4 linked regions of the Xenopus tropicalis genome follow. The protein of the gene in region 1 purifies or fractionates together with the protein of each later gene. This does not show direct contact. Links are inferred from orthologs where the notes say so. Each region holds a gene or a part of one and is shown in the gene's direction. Other genes may lie near its edges. The genes, in order: mycbp2, skp1, fbxw7 and fbxo45.

Region 1 (3,567 bases):
TCACTATTTTTATTTGGTGAGTTGTCTGGTTGTTGCATTACCATAACAGGGACATCAACAGTTGGTGCAGTGTAGGAGAAGTACAATTACATATTTAAATATGTGTTAAGGTAGGAGGTTTGTCCTAACAGGGTGTCACACACACATGCACTTCAGCGCATTTCCATAACTTTTTTTTTTTTTGTAGGCTTTCAATTGGCTGCTTTGTAATGTCATTCAGACAACATCTCTCCATGATATCTTATGGCATTTTGTGGCCTCCCTAACTCCTGCTCCAGTGGAACCAGAAGAAGATGAGGATGAGGAAAACAAAGCTAACAAGGAAAACGCTGAACAGGTACAGTCTGTAGTCTAAAAAGGGAATGCAAACTACAAATTATCAACGGCTTTGAGTTTATTTGTAAATATTTTTGCTATTGAAACAATACACGCTTCTTTCTTATTTTTGCTAAGTTTCAGGAGTCAAAAACAGACAAAAGAAATTTGTGTAGAATGTCATTGTTTTGCATTAAACAAAAATGGAGGTTTAAAGGGCATGTTCACCTTCCAAACATTTTTTTAGTCCAGTTGTTTGCAGATAGTACACCAGAAATTACTTTTTTTTTCAGTTAACTTATATAATTTATTTTTAAATTTTAATGTTCCTCTCTCTGGTATTTCAGTCTGGCATAACTAGAAACTCAGGGAATCCTATGCACTATTTTTAAATTGATTTTAACCTCTTACCCACATTGTCTTTCTGATCTTATTACACCATGTTTTGCCAGATACCATGTGGAACAGCACAGCTCAAGTAGTAACCTAGATACTTAAGTTGCTCATCATTGGCAGTCAGGTCCTTTAGGCCACATACTATAAAACATACAATCTACAGAAATAAAGAGGGTTAAATAATTATGTCAAATTGTTTTGTAAATATCAGCCATTATGTGATAATATCAAGATTATCAAACATATTTACCAATGGGTAAAAGTTAGACTTCACCATTTGATAAATGGATAGAAAGTGGGGTAATTTTTCTGTATGGAGCTCTAATTTCACACTTTGCTAAATTTGCCCCTAAATCTCAAATCACTGCCCATGGGGCACTACTCCCTTATGCACCTCCGTAAAACTGCACTGACAAGTACAACTTCTGCCTCTGCTTGGCTACACAAAGTAGAGCTGAGCGGGAATTGGCCCAAAAACTAGAAGGCAAGACATTTTTAGGCCAATCTCTGCTCAGCTCCGCCTTGTGTAGCCAAGCGGAAGCTGTAATTGTCAGTACAGTGTACTGAGGTGCATAAGAGAGTGAATCCCCTTCTCTCAGCTTGCAAAAAAACACAAGATCAGAGCAGCAAAGCCAACTTTCAAAGTGCAAAACAGATCTGGGGGAGAATGCTTAAATGGCATTCAAGATTGGCCCCCAGACACCCTAGGACAGGGATCCCCAATCATTTGTACTTGTGAGCCACACAGATGCATATACACACACATATATATATATATATATATAATATATAGTATAATTTTTTTTTAAGGAAAAAGACACAAGAGTATGTGAACACCCATTGTCAGACATAGTTATTGCTGGGGAAGCAGCACATCCCTTGCCAGACACATTTCATCGTCTTCTACAGACCATTTCGGACCTGATGATGTCTCTTCCTGGGGGTAGTTCCTTGCAACAGATGGCACTGAGGTAAAGACCCATTACTGTGTATTAATGGTATAACAGTGATGTATGCAGAGTCTTTGTTGTAGTTTAAACTGGGTTGTGTCAGAATTGTGTAGTTAGGTATTGGGGGCAGGTCAGTGGGTCTCAAATGAAACCATCTCCAAGTTATGATGACATCAGTTCCAGTGTCGGAAAACATTACTTACAATGGGGTGGTGGTGAGCAGAACTGGTTACGGATAAAGCAGTTACAGTGTATATACAGTAAATGCATGACACCGATCTGCAGGTTGAGTGTACATTTGCCCACTTGAGCTTACGCTGGTTGCTAGAGTTGGGTAAAAACAGGCACAGACACTAAAAAATATATTAACTTTTGGGAGAGTTAAGAGCATTATACATTAGACATTGATTTAATGTTTATTAAGCCACGGGTCTTGCAAAGAAGCTGCTTGCAGTTATTAATTTCTTTTAATGCTTTCAGCTAATATTGTTTCATACCTTTTACTAAAATGTTTGATCAAATATTTATGCCCCTTTGTTTTATCCGTTTTTTTCAGATGTTGGAGTCTGAAATTCAAGCAATCAGACCACCAGTTTCTACATCAGAGTAATGTATTTCGTCATATTAATAACATTCTCTCCAAGTCAGATGATGGAGACAGTGAGGAGAGTTTTAACATCAGTGTGCAGTCTGGATTTGAGGCAAGTTTCAACAGTGTACAGTCCCGATGTTAAAATAATGTTAGTTGTGAGACAAAACAGCATAATAGAAATAAAATGATTTATAGGGATTCTGTTGAGGTAGAACATGCTTTTTACTAAGAGAATTTTTTTTTTTAATTTTGAAATCTGATGTGGGGCTTGACATATTCTTAGTGTCCCAGGTGCCTTTAGCCATGTGACCTGTTCTCTGGTAAACTTCAATCACACTTAACTGCTGCAAGTTAGAGTGCTATCACCCCCCCTCCCACCCCCCCAGCAGCCGATCAGCAGAACAATAGAAAGGTAACCACTCCCTGACACCTGCATTGCTAAAAATGCTCCCATGCCCCACCAAGTGGTAGATATAAGAATAGCACTCAATAGTAAAACAAACAACCCATGACTCCTCCAGTTACATTGAGTAGGAGAAACAATAGTTACCTGCAAGCAGTTCTGTTGCGCAGTGCTGGCTTTTTATGAAAGTGCAAGATCAGACACAATGCACTGAGATGGCTGCCTACACACCAATATTACATTTTAAATGGTAGAATTAATAATTTGCAATGTGAACAGTGTAGTATAGTAATAAAAACTATATCATAAAAATCATGACAGAATCAATGTATCTCATTGGTTTGTCAACACAATATAGTTAGTTATGTAGTTCTTGCTCATAATTCTTGTGAATTTGGTTGCAATAAGTAGCACATAGACATTTACAACATGCCCACTAATAATAGCAGCAATGATTATTTTAAAAGTAATTCAAAATAATTTAAAAGTATTATGGTCACATTTACCATTAAATGCATAATTGCTAAGGTAAGTGGTACAGGGGGCATGAGACAATAATAAAAAATGCATATAGCGGTGTCAGTTTTTGTCAAGTGATCTTCTTTTACATTGTCATGTTATACTCCTTTTAGTATTGTTAAATTCCATTTTTTCTTACAGGGATCCTGCTTGGTAACTGGCTTAAAAGATATGACAAGCATTGTGGATATAAAGACTTCCAGCAGACCAGCCATGATTGGAAGTCTGACTGATGGATCAACAGAAACATTTTGGGAGTCAGGAGATGAAGATAAAAATAAAACCAAAAGCATAACGATAAACTGTGTGAAAGGCATAAACACTCGTTATGTTTCTGTTCACATAGACAATTCTCGGGACTTAGGGGTAATAATCACTGTGCTGTACTTATT
Region 2 (4,215 bases), on another chromosome or scaffold:
TACCTGGGCACAGTGGACTCTCACATGGAACTTGTAGGGGATCAGTCACCGTTTTGAAATATCCACTATTATAGAGCAAAAGGAAATTGGTCAAACAATAATAAAATGGCATTTCCAAAAGCTTTCTTGATAATGAGTCTCCTTAATCTAGATCCCATACCTGTAAGATTAAAAATGTGCTTAACTACACAATTAAGATTTCAAGTACACTCTGTCCCCTCTAAGATATTTAATAACCAGTCCTCTTTTTAACAGAATATGGTAATTCCTATTGCCTTGTGCTGTTAGTCACTCTGCTCTGTATGTTGCTGTCTAGGCCAAACTTCTGTTATTTTAATTCATAAAGCCTTTGTTTAAAATGAGGCTGAGTGAAAAGCATGGCTCAGGGATAGCAAATGTCCTCTCTGTAATTGGCTGTATGTCAACTATTGATGTACAGATTCTTTTTCTGGGCAGGATGGGCAAATGGCCTCTAATGCAGATTTGGAGCTTGGCAATTGCCATTATCCTGGCTGCTATTGGCAAAGTCATACTGCAGCAGTAAAATGACACCCTTTGTTGGTAATTACTTTGTTCTGCTTCCATAGTTATACCTGCTCAGTAAGTCTTTCCCACATCATATATGCCAGAGACACTTTCCCTTTGTGTACTGCGTGCACACTAATGGTGGCCAGTGTTAACAAGGGTTCATCCATCTCCAGCTGTCCAGCCATTTGCAGTCGGCTGTTAAAGGAGCAGTGCCAGGTTGACAGCTGTTAGAATTTAGTGCATTTTCCCAATTCCTGCACAGCTCTCTGAAAATTGCAGAGTACCGGTAATTGCACATTCCGGATGAGACCCAAAGCTTTTAGCTCCTTATTCTCTTCCTGGTAGTGGAGGGCAGGGTGCTGGCAACAGTTGGCAGGCCCCTTCTTATTCCTACTAGCTGCAGCTTCTTCCCTTTGCTCATTAGGCCGTGCCAGACCACTGTATATTGCACAGTTGGTGTGGGTCTTGGGCAGAGACTGAAGCAACCAGGCACCAGGGCTGTTGTATAGATGATTATTTTTATTGGCCCTGCCTTACTGACAACCAGGGCATGAAACATGATGTTTGCATTTCATTAAAGCAGAAGGAAAGGTATAGTCACTGGGGGGGTGGTTGCCATGTTAGCCACTCTGTGATTCTACTTGCCTACAATGGCCTGCAGTGCACTTGCTGTGCTTGCTGCCATTTTGTTCCCATGTCTCTCCTGCTCACCATGCTTAAATGTGCTTCAGTGCAGCATCTTGAGTTTCACAGCTGCCTTCCTGATCATCTCTCATTGAAAGTACCAATTGATTTTCTTTCTGTTTTGCTTGCAGTAACTTCACTAAGCAGTACTGTTTGTGTTGATTAATGTGTTTTTGTTTTTCAGATGCCTTCTATAAAGCTGCAGAGTTCTGATGGAGAGATTTTTGAAGTGGATGTTGAAATTGCAAAGCAGTCAGTAACAATTAAAACTATGTTGGAAGGTACTTTTTAAAAAAAAATTCTTTGAATATGTATTCTTTATAATTTTGTCCTCTGGTGTGCAGGTCTTCATTTGTTTTTATTCTCCTAGCTTTGAAAGTGTTGGTGTAAAGGCACATTGGGCAATTGAGTGGATTCTCTCCAAAAGCAATCCCTTTACAGAAACAATATTGCTGGGAATTTTTCTTCTATGTAGCATTTGCATGACCTTTGAGTGCACCTGGGTGAACAGACATTTGCAATTGAAATGTCAGGGGTAATTCCAATCATTTTGTCATCCACTTTCAAATTGGGAAATTTCTTGGGTTTGTGGAGGATTATCTTTTTAGGTAGTAGCTCCTTTTACACTGATAAGAGACAGGTACACAGGGTACTTTAGAAAACATTGTTTGTACAATCCAGGATTTGGAAATGATGGAATAAGGGCTTTTTATTAAAAAAAAAAAAAGTTTTGGTGCTGTTCACTACATAACAGGTACACAGCGTTTCAAACTACTCATAACAGCAGTGATCCCAATATAACAAATAAGTAGCAGTCTTGCTGAAAAAAAATTGTCCTCAGAGGAACTGGTTGTAATATTTCTGTTGTGTTTAAATTTATTTTGTGTAAATTCTTGAGAAATCTCTTATTTGACTATAGTTTTAGAACATTGCCTTTCTGTCTAAATTATCTTGGGTTTTTTTTTACATTTTTTTGGCAAGACACAGTTATCAATTAAATGTTTTTAAACAGATCTGGGTATGGATGATGAAGGTGATGATGACCCTGTGCCACTTCCCAATGTTAATGCTGCAATCCTTAAAAAAGTAAGTGCTATTTAGGTAGTGGTTTTACGTATACCCATACTAGAATACTGGATGCAGATTAGAGATTGTTTTTTTTTTTTTTAGAGGTGTTGGTTTGCTGCAGGGATATAATGCAATGTAATTAGGACAAAAAAATTGTACCAGATTCAGAATTGTGTTAATTAAAAAGTTGCAACAGCCTCCCCCCCCCCTACACACACACACACACACACATTATTTATATTTGCTTATCACTGCCAGAAGAAGAACTACTTATAAATGCCAGGGTTTTAAGGCATATTGGCAAGTAAAAAAATAAAACTGAACTATTGGTTATTAGGAACTTCATCCTGCTGTTTGGGGTTTCATATTCTTGAGTTATGATGTATACTGTTTCAGACCTAGAAACACTTGCTCTCTAATTCAGGCAGTAGAGGACATTGCTCCTATTTTTGGTTTAGCTCTTCAAGTGTAGGTTGTTACAAGATTTACTTTTTTTTTTTTTTTTTTTTTTACTAGCTTGAATTATATTAACATATAAACAACAAAATGATGAAATTGAACATATCTTAAGTTTAGCAGTACCACATTGTCTTGGATTCAGGACCTGGCCAACAAATGCAGTCAGTTGTATAAATCATAAAGATAAATACCTATGTACTTTTATTTTCATCAGGTCATTCAGTGGTGTACACATCATAAAGATGATCCCCCTCCACCCGAAGACGATGAAAACAAAGAGAAGAGAACAGATGATATCCCTGTGTGGGACCAAGAGTTTTTAAAAGTGGATCAGGGAACACTATTTGAACTGATTTTGGTGAGGCATGCTCACCAAAAAACCCAACAGCTTTTATAGAACCCATTAGAATTACATAAGTGTATTTCTAGTACTTGTACTTAGTAGTATTAATAACCTTAAAGGGAACCTGCAACTTAAAGTACCACACAGTCTGAAGGTATTGCACACACAACACAGCCTGAAGGTAGTGCACACACAACACAGCCAGTAATTATTTGTGTTTTTGTCCGAAAGAGGTAGGAGAGTTGATATTTAAAAACCTTGCCATTAACATGTTCCAACAAAGTGTGCTTGTTCTCCTGCACTTGAGAGGTAAGGGTGAGCCCACATATATGAAACGTTGTGCATAATTTTGTCCTTAGTGGCTTCAATAAAGGCATCCACATGGCATCTGCATGTTGCTTCTGAGCAATATAGTTTTAACACACATAATTTTATTCATACATTAAAACGTGGCTGCCATTTTACTTGTTAACACATAACACAACAGTTACTAGAAATTTATACACTAATTCATAAAAGATTTTTAAAAATTTACATACACATGTCCATATATTCCTCAGTCAGCATAGATTTAACTTCCAAACTGAAAATGGCTGAAACTATTTTTTTTTTTTTCATCTCAATCCTATATACATAAATTACACTTGCATATTCATATGTAGTGCTTATACGCCACTTAAAGCACGTATGATAACTTTTCCTCATAAAATACCCTTCATTAATTTAGAGCGAGTCCAAAAAGAGCTACTATTTCATTAATATCCATTTAAGGATTTGAGACCAATACTGCACTGCATATTCTAGATGGGGCCTTTGCCAGTGTTTTCTAAAGTGGGAATATGTACTTCCCCTCTGAGTCTGTATACCTTGCTGGCTCTTCCTTCCGCTGACTGGCATTGCTTGCTAAAGCTAAGTTTATTTTCCACAAGTCACCCCAGCTCCTTGCATATTTTGGAATGCCACTTAGCAGGCCAGTCTCCCAGTTTGTCCAGTTCCTCCTAAAGGATGCTACATTCTTGGTGGCACTGATTGAGCTGCATAACTTTTGTGTCATTGTCATAAACATATATTGCTTCTAAGCCAATTCATAAGCTTTTCTGCAGTCTATTGGTACCATATCAAATACAAGGGAG
Region 3 (3,567 bases), on another chromosome or scaffold:
ACCTGGCCTAACTGGTGAGGTGACATTATAGTTTCAGGTTGTCATTCACTGGTCATATTCATTGAGGGATTGGGGACAGTGATCTTTGTTTCTTTCTGCTACAATAGTGATACAGGAGCCCTTCTTCTGTCTGCCCCGCCCCAGGCCCAATACAGAATAAATAAAAGGTAGCCTGGGCAACTTGATACTGACTAAACACTAGGATTTGCAGTCTTTGGATTTTGTGCTGAAGCAGCTTATTTTTGGACCTGTATCTGTATCTAAATAGCAGTAGGAGCACATAACATGACAGGTGCATAATTATGTATTTTACAGTGTCTGAGAACACTTGTTGGGCACACGGGTGGTGTCTGGTCGTCGCAAATGAGAGACAACATCATTATTAGCGGTTCTACAGATCGGACATTGAAAGTATGGAATGCTGAGACCGGGGAATGTATACACACTCTATATGGCCATACCTCCACTGTGCGATGTATGCATCTCCATGAGAAAAGGTCAGTATGTATGTTGCTAACAGGGAAATGTTAAATAAAAATGTCACTTATTACTTGTGTCAGTTCCTAATGCTAGCCAGACATGGGCCACGTTACAGGCCATCTAGCAGATCGTAGTACATGATTTGGGTGGTTAAACACATTTCCAGAGCAGCTGATTAGCCTTTTCACACACTAAATAGTGTTCTGTTGTTTGTGTTTTAGCTAACTGCCAAACATACACTAACCAGTAATGTTAATGTTGGTATTCATTACTGGCTGGTCCACTGGAACTTTTTAAATCGCCCCATGTATCTTCGCCCTTAGTATGTTGTATGATGTAGACAGCACTATTCAGCTTGCTATTAATTAGATTTTTTAGTATTACGGGGTTTGAATCATTTAGAATTTTTGTTTTGGGGCTTAGAATTTGCTAGGGGTTTATTACCTTAGCAACCATGTTCCAAGTACTTTGAAAGTCACAATGAAAGATTAGTAGGAGAAGGGACATGGAGCAACCGGCATTCTGTCACTGCGTGAACAGGTTGCAAAAAGCTCTAAATCACTATTCCCCACCAGTAAACTTTGAGTTAAAGCCCGTGGTGGTGTTTTTATGCAGACATATACTGAAACATAGTTTCAAACAACAATTGCCTTTACAAAATTGAGCGCTTTTATGCGATTTTTATTCATAGTTAATAGAAGGGTGTTTTGTCCTCTACCTAAGAAGCTACAAAACACTTGAAGTGATTTTAAAGCATTTTGGTTACCCTAGTGCCATTATCCATCCTTAGAAAAAATTAACATACAAAATAAATAATGAAGACCAATTGAAAAGTTTCTTAGAATTGGTTTATCTATAACATACTTAAGGTTAATATAAAGGGGAATGTCACTTTTAATTATTAGAGAACTTTTATGGCTGATATCCCTGGGAAGTCATGTGGCGACATTCCAGCCACAAAAGCAAAGAATATATTTTGCATGTATGTGCACATTCCAGCCTGTTAATAAGTATACACTGAGCATTTATAAAACAGAAATGGAACATTAGTGCCAAGGGAAGGCTTTAAAGGGTGGGGGAACTTTAATAATAAGTAATCGGAAAGCAACTTTACATTCCTTTACAAAGGAATTTTACTTTCATTTATTCTTTATGTATTTATGTCATGCCGGTTTCTTTATTTAAGCATGCTACAAGGTAACATATCTGTTCTTGTGTGTCATCCTGCAGGGTTGTGAGCGGTTCACGAGATGCCACCCTTCGAGTATGGGATATTGAGACTGGCCAGTGCTTGCATGTTCTGATGGGGCATGTTGCAGCGGTCCGATGTGTTCAGTATGATGGCCGAAGGGTTGTCAGTGGAGCTTATGACTTCATGGTGAAAGTTTGGGATCCCGAGACAGAGACCTGTTTACACACACTTCAAGGCCACACTAACAGAGTCTATTCCTTACAGGTAGAGACTGGGTGTCATTGTTACTCCATCCTGAATACTGTATGTGAGCTCTGCATGCTCGTTCATTCATTTTAAATATATTAGTTATAATGAATGGGGGACATACCTAATATATTTAAAAAGAAAGGAATTTTACTATCCTCTGCTGTTCAAGCAGTAATGTTACAATTTATGCATTTCTGCAGGTTTTTGCCTTTTGTGTCATTTATATGTTAATCCATTAAAGGTTTTTTATAAATGCATTCATTAATCTTTCTATTATAAAATGCTGCTTAAGAATTTAAGACCAGGGCACATTCCCCCAACATAAATGTAGGTCATTCCATAATAATTTCTATTTACTTTGCCTTGGGCTGTTTGTTATATGCACTCTCGCTTCTTGCTCTTTTTTTTCCCTGTCAGCAGAAATGCCCCCTGGTTATAAGTAGCTTCTTACTGTTTAGCAATTGGTTGTGCTCTTGTAGGTCTCTAATTACTCCTGTTAATGCTGAATAGTTCCTTCTAATTTCATTTGATCTCACAAAAAGGAAACCCAGAGTATCATCAGTTTTTCTGAGTCATATATCCTATTGCTTTGATTGATTAGTTTATTAACTAGGAAATCATTAAAGACAGTCGCAGCTCATCCCACACATAGGACCAAGTCTGTATCTGCTGTGTTAGGCACGGGCAACTATAAGAGAATTGCTTAAGTTGTATTGACGTACTTGTGTTGTATTAGCTAGTATCCAGGGTAACAGGGGTACCAAGGACTTACATGCTATATTTCTGAACACATTTAAGATATATTATCAGTACATTGCTCCGTGTGTGTGATCATCTGAAGGTCAGTCAAGCTTATGGGAAGCTTCTTGAAAACAATAGTTGATCATCTTGTTAAAAAAAAAAAAATATCAATACAACAACAGATATTGGCAGCGTAGGTTCTTTTGTAGATGAGGGGGATGCTGTTCTAGAACAATACTCCCCTATACTCACACCCTAAACAATCTGTGTCAGCAGGCAAACACAATGACTTTGCAGTTTTTAGAGCTCATCTTTAGGTATGTTACTGCTGTACATGTCATTTTAACTGACTTTTTTTTTCCCTCCACTGCAGTTTGACGGCATTCATGTAGTAAGTGGTTCCCTGGATACCTCAATAAGGGTTTGGGATGTGGAGACTGGGAATTGTATCCACACACTGACCGGACATCAATCCTTAACTAGCGGAATGGAGCTGAAGGATAACATTTTAGTCTCGGGAAACGCAGATTCTACTGTTAAAATATGGGACATAAAAACAGGACAGTGTTTACAGACATTGCAAGGTGAGAGCCCAGTTTAATCTGTTTTGCACAGGAACTATTGCCTGAGGTGAAGCTATTAACCTGGAGACTTGAGTTAACTGTGCATTTCTTTTATTTTCCATAGAACTGGTGCTATATACCTATTATACCCTTTTGTTTTATAAACCTTTTACTCTAATATACATGCTTATACCTTAAATAAGATAATGTGTAAATTGTAATCAATGTTTAAAAAATGTTTTTCAGAGTAGATTTTGTTCTCCCTTCTTGTTAGTGAGATATTTACTGGTGGAACAATGAGTTCTCTAAATCTTGCATGTTCCCTGCTGCACACAATTCTGT
Region 4 (4,066 bases), on another chromosome or scaffold:
TGGCACTCTGCAGCTCCAACCCGGCCCAAGGAAAGTCTCCCATAGGGCTCAATGGCACTCTGCAGCTCCAACCTGGCCCAAGAAAAGTCACCATACTGAAGCTTGAATGAATCCGAATCTTTAGTACTTGGCGCGAAGGCTACGAAAAAGTTGTGACTTTTCGCGCAAGTAGTAACGCTACGAAAAAATCGCCAGATTTTGCGCAACATTCGGAATGGCAACAAAAAAGTCGCGACAATTTTCCGAAAAATCGCCAAATACCGATCATTACGAAAAAAACGCAATCGGACGCATTCAGCCCGTTTGTGAGTAAGTAAATGTGCCCCTATAATAGTGATTTAAAGTCAAATTAAAAATTCAACTTGGTTGCAGAGCTTTTCTGGCCACTTTTGTGATATACTGGCCCCTTTAGTTCAGCAGCTTTCATACCTTCCTTCCATACATCTAATTCATTCTTGGCTATGTGCCACACAGTGTGTTCAGGTCAGGATACAAAATGTTGTGTTTTCACAGAAAGTTCCTTGTGCGCACCACAATATGTTGTGTAACCCAACGGGATAACTAAACTAAATAACTGGTCAAGTTAGACTTCAAATTTCCCTTTGACTGTGTTATTTACTTAAACAAAAAAAACAGATTTGGGTTCAATAAATGTAGAGATTTCTGTGGCATTTCTATTGAGGTGAGTGTATAACGGTACAGCAGTTATCAGCCATATACAGACAGGCAATGATTGATTATTAAGGTTGTGGGCCTGGGGCAGGGCTCGGTGCAGCCATGCAGCATGTTTCTGCAATGATAGCGAAGCCTTAGCCACATGAAATGGGGTTCCTGCCAGTGCAGACTGAGACACCCAGCAGCTACAAAATATAGACCCGTGTAAATATTAGTAAGCAGATCTGCACATTTCATATCTAATACACATAAGGAACTTGCCAGAAAGGCAATCTATACACTTTCAAGCACGCTTTTACCTCACAGCAGGCACTCTAATGCCCGATATAGCAACCTCCTCAGGCAGCTCCTTTCTACCGCTCCTCTGATTGGTAAGCGCTTAGGAATAGGAGCACGTGGGGTCCATACTAAGCAGCTATTGGCTGCAAGTAGGTCAGGTGGAGAAAGTGCAGAAACCAGGAAGCGTCCTCATTTTTAGTGGACCCTAGCGATAATTGGTTGAGCGTTCGGGAACCCCTTCTCCTTAGTCTGATTGGCTGGGCATGACGTGATGCATAGGGCCGGAGCCGGCGCTGGTTGATGAGGTGTCTGTGTGGAGGCCGGTGAAGCGTCGCTGCCTGGAATACGGAGGGTATGGCGGCAGCAGCTATTAATGCTGCTGCACCTCCTCCTCCGGTGGCTCCAACAGCACCTCCTCCTCCTCCGCCGCCGCCGCTGAGTCAGGCTTCGGGTAGGCTGCCTAGCAGGGTGCTCGAACTGGTGTTCTCCTATTTGGACCTGCCTGACCTGCGCAGCTGCGGCCTGGTGTGTAAGCACTGGTACCGCTGTCTGCACGGAGACGAGAACAGTGAAGTGTGGAGGAGTCTGTGCGGCAGAATCGTCAGCGAGGAAGCCTTGCGAACCGACATACTGTGCAACCTGCCGACATACAAGGCAAAGGTGGGGCTGCCATTCCCCTGCTTGCTGTGCCCTGCCGCATGAATGGATAATATACCCTGCCTGGGCTTTACTCTCTTCCTATATATACTCTGGGGAGCCTGTGCGCACACTTACCGGGGATCGAAAGCTGCCTAAATAATTCTGCCTAATGAAAGAACATTCATTTTCTAATCACCAATATACATTTATTTAAACAAAAAATCGCTGGGTATTTGTAAATACAATGGTATTATATGTCCCTTAATGCTTTGCTGCTACAGATTTTAACTTATCTTGGGGTTTACATCCCCCTTAATGCTGATCTGAATTAAAATCAGATCCTACACGTTCAGATTTTAGTCTTCTTCCAACGAATGTTCAGATATCGATCATGAGTTTAAATGCAACAATCTAACATTCACATTGAAATTGTAGGATATAGTCCTAAGAATATTAAATTGGAGGAAATTCTGAATATAACATAGCTGTCAGACATCAATCGTACAAACGTGACTTCCTGGAATTGCATTGTAGGCCCGCAATACACAATACATGCACAGACTGGCGGATTGACTAAACCGCTATGGTACGAAAATCTTGGTAAAACATATGTGTGTTCAGCCAACTTTAAGGGGAATATCATAATGGCAAATGGTTTTACAATACTGATGCCTACATATTTTATAGGTATTAAGGTGAACTACTAAGTCTGGTCTCCCATGGATAATTATTAATTCTTCATTCATTAGAATAGCTGTACTAAGCAGGGACTGCAGACCCATTGGGTGGACAAAAGTCTCAATGTTAACATCCTCTTTAATGTGCATTTCTTATATTGGGGCTTGTGTTTGTGTCTAAATGCATTTCTTTACATGCCATTTCTTGCAGATGCGGGCCTTTCAGCATGGATTCAGTTCAAGTGACTGCTCCAGAAATGTCTACATTAAGAAAAATGGTTTCACCCTTCACCGAAACCCCATAGCACAGAGTACAGATGGAGCACGCACCAAAATCGGCTTCAGTGAAGGTCGTCACGCATGGGAAGTGTGGTGGGAAGGCCCTTTGGGAACAGTTGCTGTAATAGGAATAGCTACAAAACGGGCACCTATGCAGTGTCAGGGGTATGTGGCACTCCTGGGCAGTGATGACCAAAGCTGGGGCTGGAATCTTGTGGATAACAATTTGTTGCATAATGGGGAGGTAAACGGTAGCTTCCCCCAGTGCAATAATGCCCCAAAATACCAGGTGAGTTTATCCAATTATGATTTTAAAAGGGTAGTTCAACTTGTTAGCATATCCCATGTAGTAGTTTTAATTGATTTTTATTTTTTTCCTTTCTAGGCTTTAAAAAGGAATGTTTCTAGTTTATTTTCTAGATCTCTAACTTCCTAAACTGCTATATCTCATACTCTAGTATTGATACAGTTTTCAGCAGCATTAAAAAAAAAAAAATAGCAGCAATTATCAGTTTTACAATTGGGTTGTTACAGACTATTAGTTGGGGCTGAGCAATGTGTCGACTGATGTATCAGATGTCTTTGACGTTTTTCATTCATCCAGGTCTAGTAGTGAGACGTTTAAAGGTGGCAACACACGTAGCAATAACCATCTTTCATGCGACTATTGGTCACAGGAAAGATCGTTCCCACCCTCCACTGACATTCAGGGCTGAATTGTCAGATATGGAGGAAGAAACAATAGGAATTCTACCTCCTTCTGCCGATTCTGCCCTAAATGTAGATTTTGCTTGGGCGCCTTTTAACCTGGCCAAGTGAAGAGGCGTCTGATATCCGCCTTTGCAATATTGGTTGCCTCTTCATGCCGCCATACACGCACCGAATATATTACAAAACAAGGTTTGGATGATGATGTATGGCCGGCTTAAAACAACTGGAATGGTGATTGTTTTTTTCACTGGTTTGCTACTGAGAAACATGAGAGTGGAAACCAAAACTATTTTGTTATTAAAACTTGCATTTCTGGAAAATGTTCAAAAATAGAGGAGTTGTGCGACTGTGCAAAAATAAGTTCTGTATGGATGAACTACCCCCTTGAACATAATTTTAATCAGATTGTTTTTAAAAGGCAGTGCTTTTTGGCTTGAGCTAAAATAGTGCAGTAAAAGATGTGTATCCAAGTATAGTATAAATGCCTATTTTTATTTTGCCAAAAGAGCATCTGTGTAAGGTTTTAGTTTTACCTTTTTCCTTCATCTCCCTCCTCCCACCTATAATTAGAGTGGTTAAATAAAAATAATGATCTCTGTATAAATATTCCTATCCATTTTCTCATCTGCATCACATGTTTTAGGTTTACAGATAAGGAAGAGTTATATAGGGGGTTTAGGGCTGTGGCACACGGGGAGATTAGTCGCCCGTGACAAATCTCCCTTGTCGCAGGCGACTAATCTCCCCGAAATGCCATCCCACCGGCGAGAATGTTAATTGCCGGTGGGATGGCATACGCGGCGCCA

Evidence for each region.
Region 2: the proteins of mycbp2 (region 1) and skp1 purify together in Homo sapiens (affinity purification with mass spectrometry; 4 studies listed by BioGRID and IntAct, with this or other methods). This does not show direct contact. The link is inferred for Xenopus tropicalis from reciprocal best matches to the Homo sapiens genes MYCBP2 and SKP1.
Region 3: the proteins of mycbp2 (region 1) and fbxw7 purify together in Homo sapiens (affinity purification with mass spectrometry; 6 studies listed by BioGRID and IntAct, counting the BioPlex papers as one, with this or other methods). This does not show direct contact. The link is inferred for Xenopus tropicalis from reciprocal best matches to the Homo sapiens genes MYCBP2 and FBXW7.
Region 4: the proteins of mycbp2 (region 1) and fbxo45 purify together in Homo sapiens (affinity purification with western blotting; 7 studies listed by BioGRID and IntAct, with this or other methods). This does not show direct contact. The link is inferred for Xenopus tropicalis from reciprocal best matches to the Homo sapiens genes MYCBP2 and FBXO45.

Annotation. Positions count from the first base shown.
Region 1 is NC_030678.2:126,190,615-126,194,181, forward strand, and holds part of mycbp2 (E3 ubiquitin-protein ligase MYCBP2), read left to right. Parts: intron 1-187; coding exon 188-337; intron 338-1,521; coding exon 1,522-1,682; intron 1,683-2,217; coding exon 2,218-2,362; intron 2,363-3,316; coding exon 3,317-3,541; intron 3,542-3,567. UniProt on the Homo sapiens protein: Atypical E3 ubiquitin-protein ligase which specifically mediates ubiquitination of threonine and serine residues on target proteins, instead of ubiquitinating lysine residues.
Region 2 is NC_030679.2:26,567,493-26,571,707, forward strand, and holds the start of skp1 (S-phase kinase-associated protein 1), read left to right. Parts: upstream 1-1,394; 5' UTR 1,395-1,396; coding exon 1,397-1,493; intron 1,494-2,224; coding exon 2,225-2,298; intron 2,299-2,953; coding exon 2,954-3,097; intron 3,098-4,215. UniProt on the Homo sapiens protein: Essential component of the SCF (SKP1-CUL1-F-box protein) ubiquitin ligase complex, which mediates the ubiquitination of proteins involved in cell cycle progression, signal transduction and transcription.
Region 3 is NC_030677.2:55,548,321-55,551,887, forward strand, and holds part of fbxw7 (F-box/WD repeat-containing protein 7), read left to right. Parts: intron 1-315; coding exon 316-497; intron 498-1,710; coding exon 1,711-1,936; intron 1,937-3,035; coding exon 3,036-3,246; intron 3,247-3,567. UniProt on the Homo sapiens protein: Substrate recognition component of a SCF (SKP1-CUL1-F-box protein) E3 ubiquitin-protein ligase complex which mediates the ubiquitination and subsequent proteasomal degradation of target proteins.
Region 4 is NC_030681.2:129,851,871-129,855,936, reverse strand, and holds the start of fbxo45 (F-box/SPRY domain-containing protein 1), read left to right. Parts: upstream 1-1,201; 5' UTR 1,202-1,308; coding exon 1,309-1,614; intron 1,615-2,481; coding exon 2,482-2,838; intron 2,839-4,066. UniProt on the Homo sapiens protein: Component of E3 ubiquitin ligase complex consisting of FBXO45, MYCBP2 and SKP1. Functions in substrate recognition but also plays an important role in assembly of the complex.